Linked DNA regions of Tamandua tetradactyla. The protein of the gene in region 2 purifies or fractionates together with the protein of the main gene of each other region. This does not show direct contact. Links are inferred from orthologs where the notes say so. Each region holds a gene or a part of one and is shown on either strand. Other genes may lie near its edges. The genes, in order: CEP170 and WDR62.

Region 1 (3,912 bases), on a different chromosome or scaffold from region 2:
AGAGTTTATGTAAGTTGTACAAGATGACAGAACCATCTGACACAAATACAACCATCACTTCCATAGATACTCACTAACAAGATATTGACCTAACAAGTGAATAAAGTTTCAGTTATAGTAACTGTGATAGGATTAATACACTTATTAATGTAGGTTTTGAAAGCAGATTCACACGTATTCAATATCTGGTTCTGCTACTAATCACCCGTGTGGCCTTTTGCATATAAAACCTGAATCTCGATTTCCCAAGTGTAAAATAGGGGTAATCAGTAGGTTGTTGCAAGTTTTAAATGCACTCGTGTTCTTCAAAAACCTAGACAACTAAATAGAAGGTTCTGTGATTAAAACAATTATGTGTTTCCCCACTCCATCCCGGCAAATAAATCACTTTCAGTCCACTATATCGGAATTTGAATGTGTAAAAAATGTGAATCAGGAAAGCACAGGATTAAAAAGCAAAGTATGAGAATTGGGCAAGAGTGGCATAAAACTTTCCAACAGTTTCTGTGGGCATTGGTTAAGAAAAATGGTCAACTCAAGATCAGGCAGTTTGTTGAGGTTACTAACGGGAATCAAGGAAACAACGCTGCTTAAATGTAAAAACAAAACAAAACTCTTTCATCCTTCCTCAAGGATCACGGCAACATCCATCTTCTTCTTCTGCAGCCTGGCTGGGGCCGAACAGAGGTGTTAGGAAAAACGCACCTGGTCATCCACGAGGCCCTGGGTACCAAGGGGCTAGGAGCAGAGATTCGGAGCAACTCACCCCGGAGACTCCGTTGATAGTGCCCCAAAATCTCCTCCAGGGCAGAGTTCCCCGGGGACACGGCCATGCACGGACCGAAGGCCCAGAGATGGGAACTACGTGGGGAAGTGTCCAGAGAACAACAGGCCTAGCGCCTAGAGAGCACCCGCCCTCTTCCTGCCGCGGCTGTCACTGTGGAGCGTGGAACCCAGTATGGAGCTCCTGGAGGCTCTTCCCACCCAATGGCCCTTACGGTGGACTTCGGGAGTTGCAGTCCCCAGGCTCTCGACCTGAAACTTCGAGGCACCTGAGAGCTCCTCCACAGACACTACAATTCCCAGAGGGCACCGCGCTCGGAGCTCAAACTTCGGCAGTTTGGCTGCAATAGTCCGTTGCCAAGAGACACCTCAGAGGCTCCGCCCGTTTCCTCCTGCCCAGCCTGGTTTAGTCCCGCTTTCATCTCATCCTTCCGCTGCTTGGACCACTTAACTGACGGAAAGAGCCCCCTGAAGGCCTCGACTGTTCGAAATGTTATACTATGCAGTTGACCCCTGAGGCTTCTCAGTACGCAAGTGAAAAGCTCGGGATTCTGTTTTGACCGCAACGTTGTAATAACGACCACATAAATTCTTAAGGAAAAGAAACTCTAGACCTACCGACCAGCCTATGTTGTGAAGGCGGCCGATACTACAAATCCTAGCATGCCCAGCGACCCGGCCTCCTCTTGGAGTTGGCGCACTGCCCGCAGGGAGCTGTAGTCCTTGTTGGTTGCGGTCCAAGCTACTGATAGGGTCCTCTTTATTGTTCAAGCCGCTCTTTATACCACGCCTGCGCAGTGGGCAGCAGCAAAAGCGTGTGGGTGAGACCCTCAGTTCAACGCCTTTTCATTGTCTCATTTTCGCGCTTGCGCAGAACTAAACTGTTGGGCCAGAGCAGGCGGAGGGAACAGGGCCCGGCCCTGCGCCCTTTCCCGTGGCGCCTGCGCACTAGGCTGCCGCTCTTTGCCGTTACCGCTATGTGTGAGGCGTGTGTAGAATAACGTTATTGCCCAGAGGAGCTGAGGGGCCCGGAGTTAAACTGCAGCGGCAGCATCGACGACGACAGCGACGACGACGACGACGACGACGAGGGGGTGGGGGGAGGACGGCGTGCTTAGAGACTCACGGGACGCGACGCGCCCCGCCTCCCCCGTCCGGTCCCTCTCCCAGCGGTGAGGGGTAAGTGATGCTGTCGGCTGCTTGGGTTAGGCGTTGCTGGTACAGCTACTGCCGCTGCTTTTACACATCCTTTTCCTGGAGAGCCTTGGGTTTGCGGCGGGGACTCGGGTTGCGAGGCCGGGAAGCGAGGGGGTCGCTTCCCGGAATCTCCGCGCGGCGCCGCGGCCGCCGCCGCCGCCACCCCCACCCTGGGGCTCGGCGGGGCCGCCCGTCCCATCCCCCACCCGAGCTCGCGTGGTTCCCCATCTCCTGTCCCTCCAGTCCAGTAGCCAACCTGGCCTTGCCCAGCCTCTTTTCCTCTGACTCTTTCCCTAGATGTATAGAATCGTTTTCAGCTCCCTCTCGGGCTTTGTGCAACCTTCCCCCCACACACCCCCCCGCCGCCTTAGCAGTGTGCGAGGGGCGCGAGCGGAGGAGGATCGGAGGGAATGGCCACGCTGCCTCCGGAGAAGGGGTTTTTCCCAGCCCGCGCCCCTCATCTGAGCGGCTAACAGTGCCGATCCTTTTTATTGGTTTTGGGGAGTGAGGCGACTGGGGGAGGTGGTGCGAGGTTGGACGCGGTTGACGGGCATGGAAGACGTGGTGTCACGCACCCTGGCAGGCGACTGCACTCCGCGTAGGTTCTGGCCCCGTGGTAAACCCTGGGGCGGAGAGAGGGGCTTCCTGTCGCCTTCATTGTCCTAACATTCGAATGTAGGCCTCTGGTATGGTTTTCTTCATTTTATGCAAAGGAAAAAAAAAAGATTACCAGTTGCCTAAAACAGGGCGGGAAGATTTGGGATTTGTATTCTCAGTCACGTAATCTGTTTCTGGTGTACAGTAGAGTGTTATTTATTTATTTGAAGACTGTAAGCTTCTGGAAGACAGGGTCTGTGCTTAGTGGAACCAAGCCCTGTAAAGGTGGTCAGTGTGTAAGATTGCTAGACAACGATGAAGACTGGGCTAGGAAGGCCCTGACAATGAAGCTTTTGTGTGGCAGGGAAATGAACCAGCAGAATTGTTTTTTCATTGGGTGGGTAATGCGTTCGTATTCTTAAGGGAAGGCATTAGAATAGATCTTTACGTCGTTTTGTTTTCTAAAAGCAATCAAATCAAAACAAAAAATAACCCTTGTATATTTTAATTTCTGAAGTGGTTACTCATAGTTTAATTCTTGTAATGAAAACTCAACTAAATTGGGAGGAATTTGATAAAGCAGATGATTGAAAATTTTTAAATGATCTGATTCTTACACTTACAGTGTTTACTGTAAGCACTCGCTGGCATTTGTAGTTACAGCAAGCAGAAGAGAGAATGAAGTAGGATGAGGAAAGAAGCAAGTGGAAGAAAAATGACATTGTAGGAGTTATATTCTGAATACAATTTCTAGATCTCTCCACTGATATAATCCAAGCTGGGTCTGCTTCAAAGATTTAGGAATACACCTCTGGAAATATTACACAATGAATAGCAAATTATACAACCATTTTGTAATTTTCTGCCATCATATTAAAAAAAAATGAAACCATGCTTTTGGTTCTTTCTAACTTCATAGATATTGTAGAAATTTTTGTGTTTTAAAACTGGAGAGTCTAAGTACTTTTGTCAGAGGAAGAAACTGAAACTTGAAAATTTACCTGACTTTTCCAACCAAGCCAAACTGCTAAATGAAGGCAGAGCCAAATATTACAAGGCTCTGATTTGCCTCCTCCTGAGGTCTGTACCCCTAGTCCTCCTACCCTGTGAAAAAGTATGGAAAGCTTTTCTCTGTGTGCTGTTTGAGTTGTGAGGATAAAGTTCATTAATAGTTCAGTTGTATTAATCTTGTCCTTTTCCTCGTGATGTTAAGGTGGTAATCCTACTAAAATAGAAATTTTATAAAGTAAATTACTGGTATAGGGAAAACTGCCCTAATGTGGGCTTTTCATAAAGATAGGAATCGTTGGAATTCTTTTCTCTCCTACTTAATAG
Region 2 (3,912 bases):
ACTCACTGAGCTTCTGCAGTCAAGCTATCAGCAGCTAATGTTTGTTCTCAACATTACTTTGAGAAATACACTGCTAGATGAAGGGTACAAGGTGGTGAAGAAGACAGACAAAAGCCCTGCTTTCCTGGAGCTCACATTCTGGTGATGGTGGGGAGGGAAAACAAAGAAAACGAACAAAACAAATATAGAGAAAATAAAGCAGGGATTGGGATTGAGAGTACAGGGGAAAGGGGAAACAGCCTCACTGAGAAGGTGACCCTGGAATAAACTTCTAAATACTTTTATATAGATTAAAGACCTGAATGCTCATAACAATCTAAGGAAGAAGGCACTATTGTCACCACAATTTTACAGATAAGGACACTAGAGGCCCAAGGTCCTACACCTGGGGAACGGCAAGGTTGGGATATAAACCCAAGTAGGTTGGCTCCAAAGACAGCACTTTGGGCCTAGTAATGGAGATACAACATTGAGCAAAAGTGGACCCTGTCCATTTTCTCATCAAACTCACAGTCTAGAATTTCAAATTTAAAAACCCTCTAAGCAAGTAGGTGAAACGGGCAAGTCCCTATTTAACTACAATCCCTACAGCGTAGGGATTAACTGGAATTGTGCTACTTTCATATTTAGATCAGTTCCTAATTATACAGAGTAAAACACTCTTAGGCAAGTCCATGGTATCAGAACTAAAAAGTTACCATAAGGTAACAAGTAATGTTAATACTGAGCATTTATCAGAAGTCAGACACTATTCAAATACCTGTAACTCTATTAATTTATCCAACGTTTAAATAAGTCTGTAACATAGTTACCATTGTCACCACCATCCTCATCTTACAGATAAGGAGAGGGATACTCGGAAGTGGTAAGTAACTTTAGCCCCAGGTTACCCATTCAAGAAAGAGCAGAACCAAGATTCTAACCAGGCAGTCCAGCACTGTCACTCATGTCATTTCACTTACCATTAAGCATTATTGGGCAGTAGTATAATTGATCATTTTTAGACAATCTTTTGCTTATCTACACTGTGCTGCCAAAAGAAAAATAAATGATGTGCTGCCCAAAATACACAATAACAATAACAGTAGTCGCTAACTGTACTAACAGAGTACTTGCAACGTGCCTGGAGTTGTTCTAAGTGCTTCAGGTATGTTAGCTCATTTAATCCTCACAAATGCCCTACAAGGCATATTAATACTTTTATCTTCATTACAGATGAGGAAACAGAGGCACAGAAAAGTTCCTAACTTGCTAGGAAGAATAGAATTAAAGCATAAGCCCAGACAGTCTAGGTCCAGAACCTGTGTTCTTTGCCACTTTGCTATATGGCCACTCTGAAAGTGCTATTGTTATTCCTCTACATTTATACATAGTTTAAGAGCTCACAAGGCACTTTCAGGAACATACAAGGAAAGGGCCATGAAGAACAGGGCGCTGGGTGAGAGACTAAGGTGGGTATCTGCTTTAGATTGGGATTCAAGAAGGCCTCTTGGAGGTAAGAATATTCAGGCTGAGACCTGAAAGATAAGGAGCTAGCTTTGGACCGCAGCAAAAAGGCCCAAACACAAGGGCTGGAAGGCAGGAGAGAGCTGAGAGCCTCAAGGAAACAGAGAACAAGTCAGTGTGACTGAACCTTGGTAAGAGGGATGCCAGGGGAGCTACAGCCAGAGAGGTGGGCAGGGGCCCACTTGCATAGGGGCTTGCAAGCAGGAATGGGCAACATGTTTGGAATATAGCAGGGAGCTACTGAGCAGGAACAAGGTCCACCAACAGTTACCATTTATCCACCCTTTATCTGATGCCATGCACTATGCCCAGCAGGTCACATTCACAATTTCTTCATATCTCCCTAAAACATAATGGTCAGGTTATTGTTTATGAAAACAGATTACACATGTTGCTTTGCTGGGGGAAATTCAACCTATTCTAAAATCGCCTCTTTTTTTCTGTACTCAAGATTTAGGAAAGTATTCTGTACTCCCCCCTCCCCACCCCCATCCCCAGCAGCTGGCACTGATGAGATTTTTAGAATATTACTAGCATCCTCTCTATAGTTTTGAGTGGCCATATGGAATTCCATCTTGGTAAGGGAAAAGGAAGAAGGCAGGGGTTGACGGACGGCTGGGGAGACCTGAGACTGAGACGGGTAGGACTCTGGGCCGAAACCCCTAAAGACCTGGCGCGGCGGGGTCAACAAAGTGGTGGAGTTCGGGAGAGAGTTTAAAGTTCAACTGGAGCTCAATCCCATAAAGCGTGATGAGAAGGTGACTTGCAGAGACAAGGTGTTCGGAGAGATGGGACTGGAAAGGAACGCCGGGAACAACCCAGAGGCTTGTGGGTGGGGCCAAGGGTTGAGAAGCGAGGCCAGGAATGATGGGCAGCGCCCGTGAGAAAAAGATACCGAAAAATGGGAGTAGCCTTTCTGAAGGGGCGGGTCTTAGTAGATGAGGCGGGGCTGGGAGAAACCTGAGGGGACCCGTCGGAGGCTGATAGGTGTGGCCAAAGAGCTGAACATTGGACCCGGGGGCCCAGGGAGCTGGGAGTGGGGTGGGAAAGGCAGATAGATCCTCACCCGGTTCTGCACCGTATCGTCGGGCGCCGCTGTGAGTCGAGTCCGCCGCCGGAGGCAGAGCGGGGCAGCCGGGGGCGGGGAGGACTGGTTCCTCCGCGCCGGAACCCCCACCATGACGGATGGCAGCTTCTCTCCCGTGTCGTTCCGCGCGTAGCCTGCGAGTCCCAAGGCCGCCATCGTCACGCCGGGGCCGGGCGACCGTTACACGCCCAACCGCCGCAGCCACGACTCACTTGAATAGCGAACCGCCGCGGGAAAGCCGGAGCCGGCGCCCATTGGACACGGCGTGCCGCGGGTTTAGCCAATCTCGGGGCTGCCGGGCGGCCCTTTCGACCAATAAGGGCTTAAAGGAGTAGCGTAGCCTCGGACAGGGTGGGGCTATTGCTACTGCCACCGCCTTCGGAAGGAAGGGGCCTTGGTTCGGGTTTACTTAATGCTCGGATTTAGCGTATTGGTGGTTTTGGACCATTCTGCCTTTTTATCATTCACTGAAATAAACAGGATTTAATTTTTGCAAGGGTAAGGCCATAACCGCCTCACCTCGCTTTTTGCTGCCTGCCTACCCACGGCGACTACCCACACCGTGACTGTCACCCGGATGTGTAATCGCAGGGTGGAGCCGAAAGAGAGTGACGAGCCAGTCGAATTGGTTGGCGCAGGCTCAGAAATGCTGTGATGCCACTGCAATAAAGAGCTGGGCAGCAAATGGCGGGCTTTGCATGTTTGTACTTTCCCCATTCACCACTTGATGAAGGCGGAGCTCGGGTAAGGCAGCATGGCGCGTCTTAGGCGGCATCTTCCGGCTGCAACACGTGAGGAGGGACCAGCGGCCGTCACGTGAGACAGGCGGAGAGGGAGCGAGCCGGGCCGGGTTCGGCGGCCCCCGCGAGGAGCAAAGTGCGACCGCTAACCTGGCTAAACTCAGTAGGGCTTGGACCGCCTTGCCCAGGTCTTGCCGGGCTCCGAACTGCTCCAGCAACCGCCCAGTGAGCTTCGCAAGTGACTGCAGGAGTGGGGCGGGGCTTGATAGGAAGCGGGGCCCTGGGAGGGGCGGAGCACCTGGTCCAGCTTGAGGCGGGTCACAAGTAGGAGTTAGCAAGGTGAAGAGTCCGTATTGCGGGCTGCAAGTAAACATCGAACTTGCAAATGTACAGATGCGTGAAACAGCAGGGGGTAGGCGATAAACTAAAGGTACTACAAGGAGACTGCTGAAAGCGGAGGGGTGGGGGTAGGGCGGCTCTGTAGGGAAAAGTGAGGTTGGTCCAGGCTTTTAGGTGCACCTGTTCAATAGCTTACCCCATCCTTCAGTTGCTCAGGCTAGAAACCTTAGAATCATCCTT

What was found.
Region 1: the proteins of WDR62 (region 2) and CEP170 purify together in Homo sapiens (affinity purification with mass spectrometry; 3 studies listed by BioGRID and IntAct, with this or other methods). This does not show direct contact. The link is inferred for Tamandua tetradactyla from reciprocal best matches to the Homo sapiens genes WDR62 and CEP170.

Annotation. Positions count from the first base shown.
Region 1 is NC_135333.1:14,520,395-14,524,306, reverse strand, and holds the start of CEP170 (centrosomal protein of 170 kDa), read left to right. Parts: upstream 1-1,124; 5' UTR 1,125-1,962; exon of another isoform or gene 1,963-2,101; intron 2,102-3,912. Other genes in the region: SDCCAG8 (serologically defined colon cancer antigen 8), read right to left, coding at 767-833.
Region 2 is NC_135342.1:29,895,254-29,899,165, forward strand, and holds the start of WDR62 (WD repeat-containing protein 62), read right to left. Parts: upstream 2,821-3,912; 5' UTR 2,750-2,820; coding exon 2,573-2,749; intron 1-2,572. UniProt on the Homo sapiens protein: Required for cerebral cortical development. Plays a role in neuronal proliferation and migration.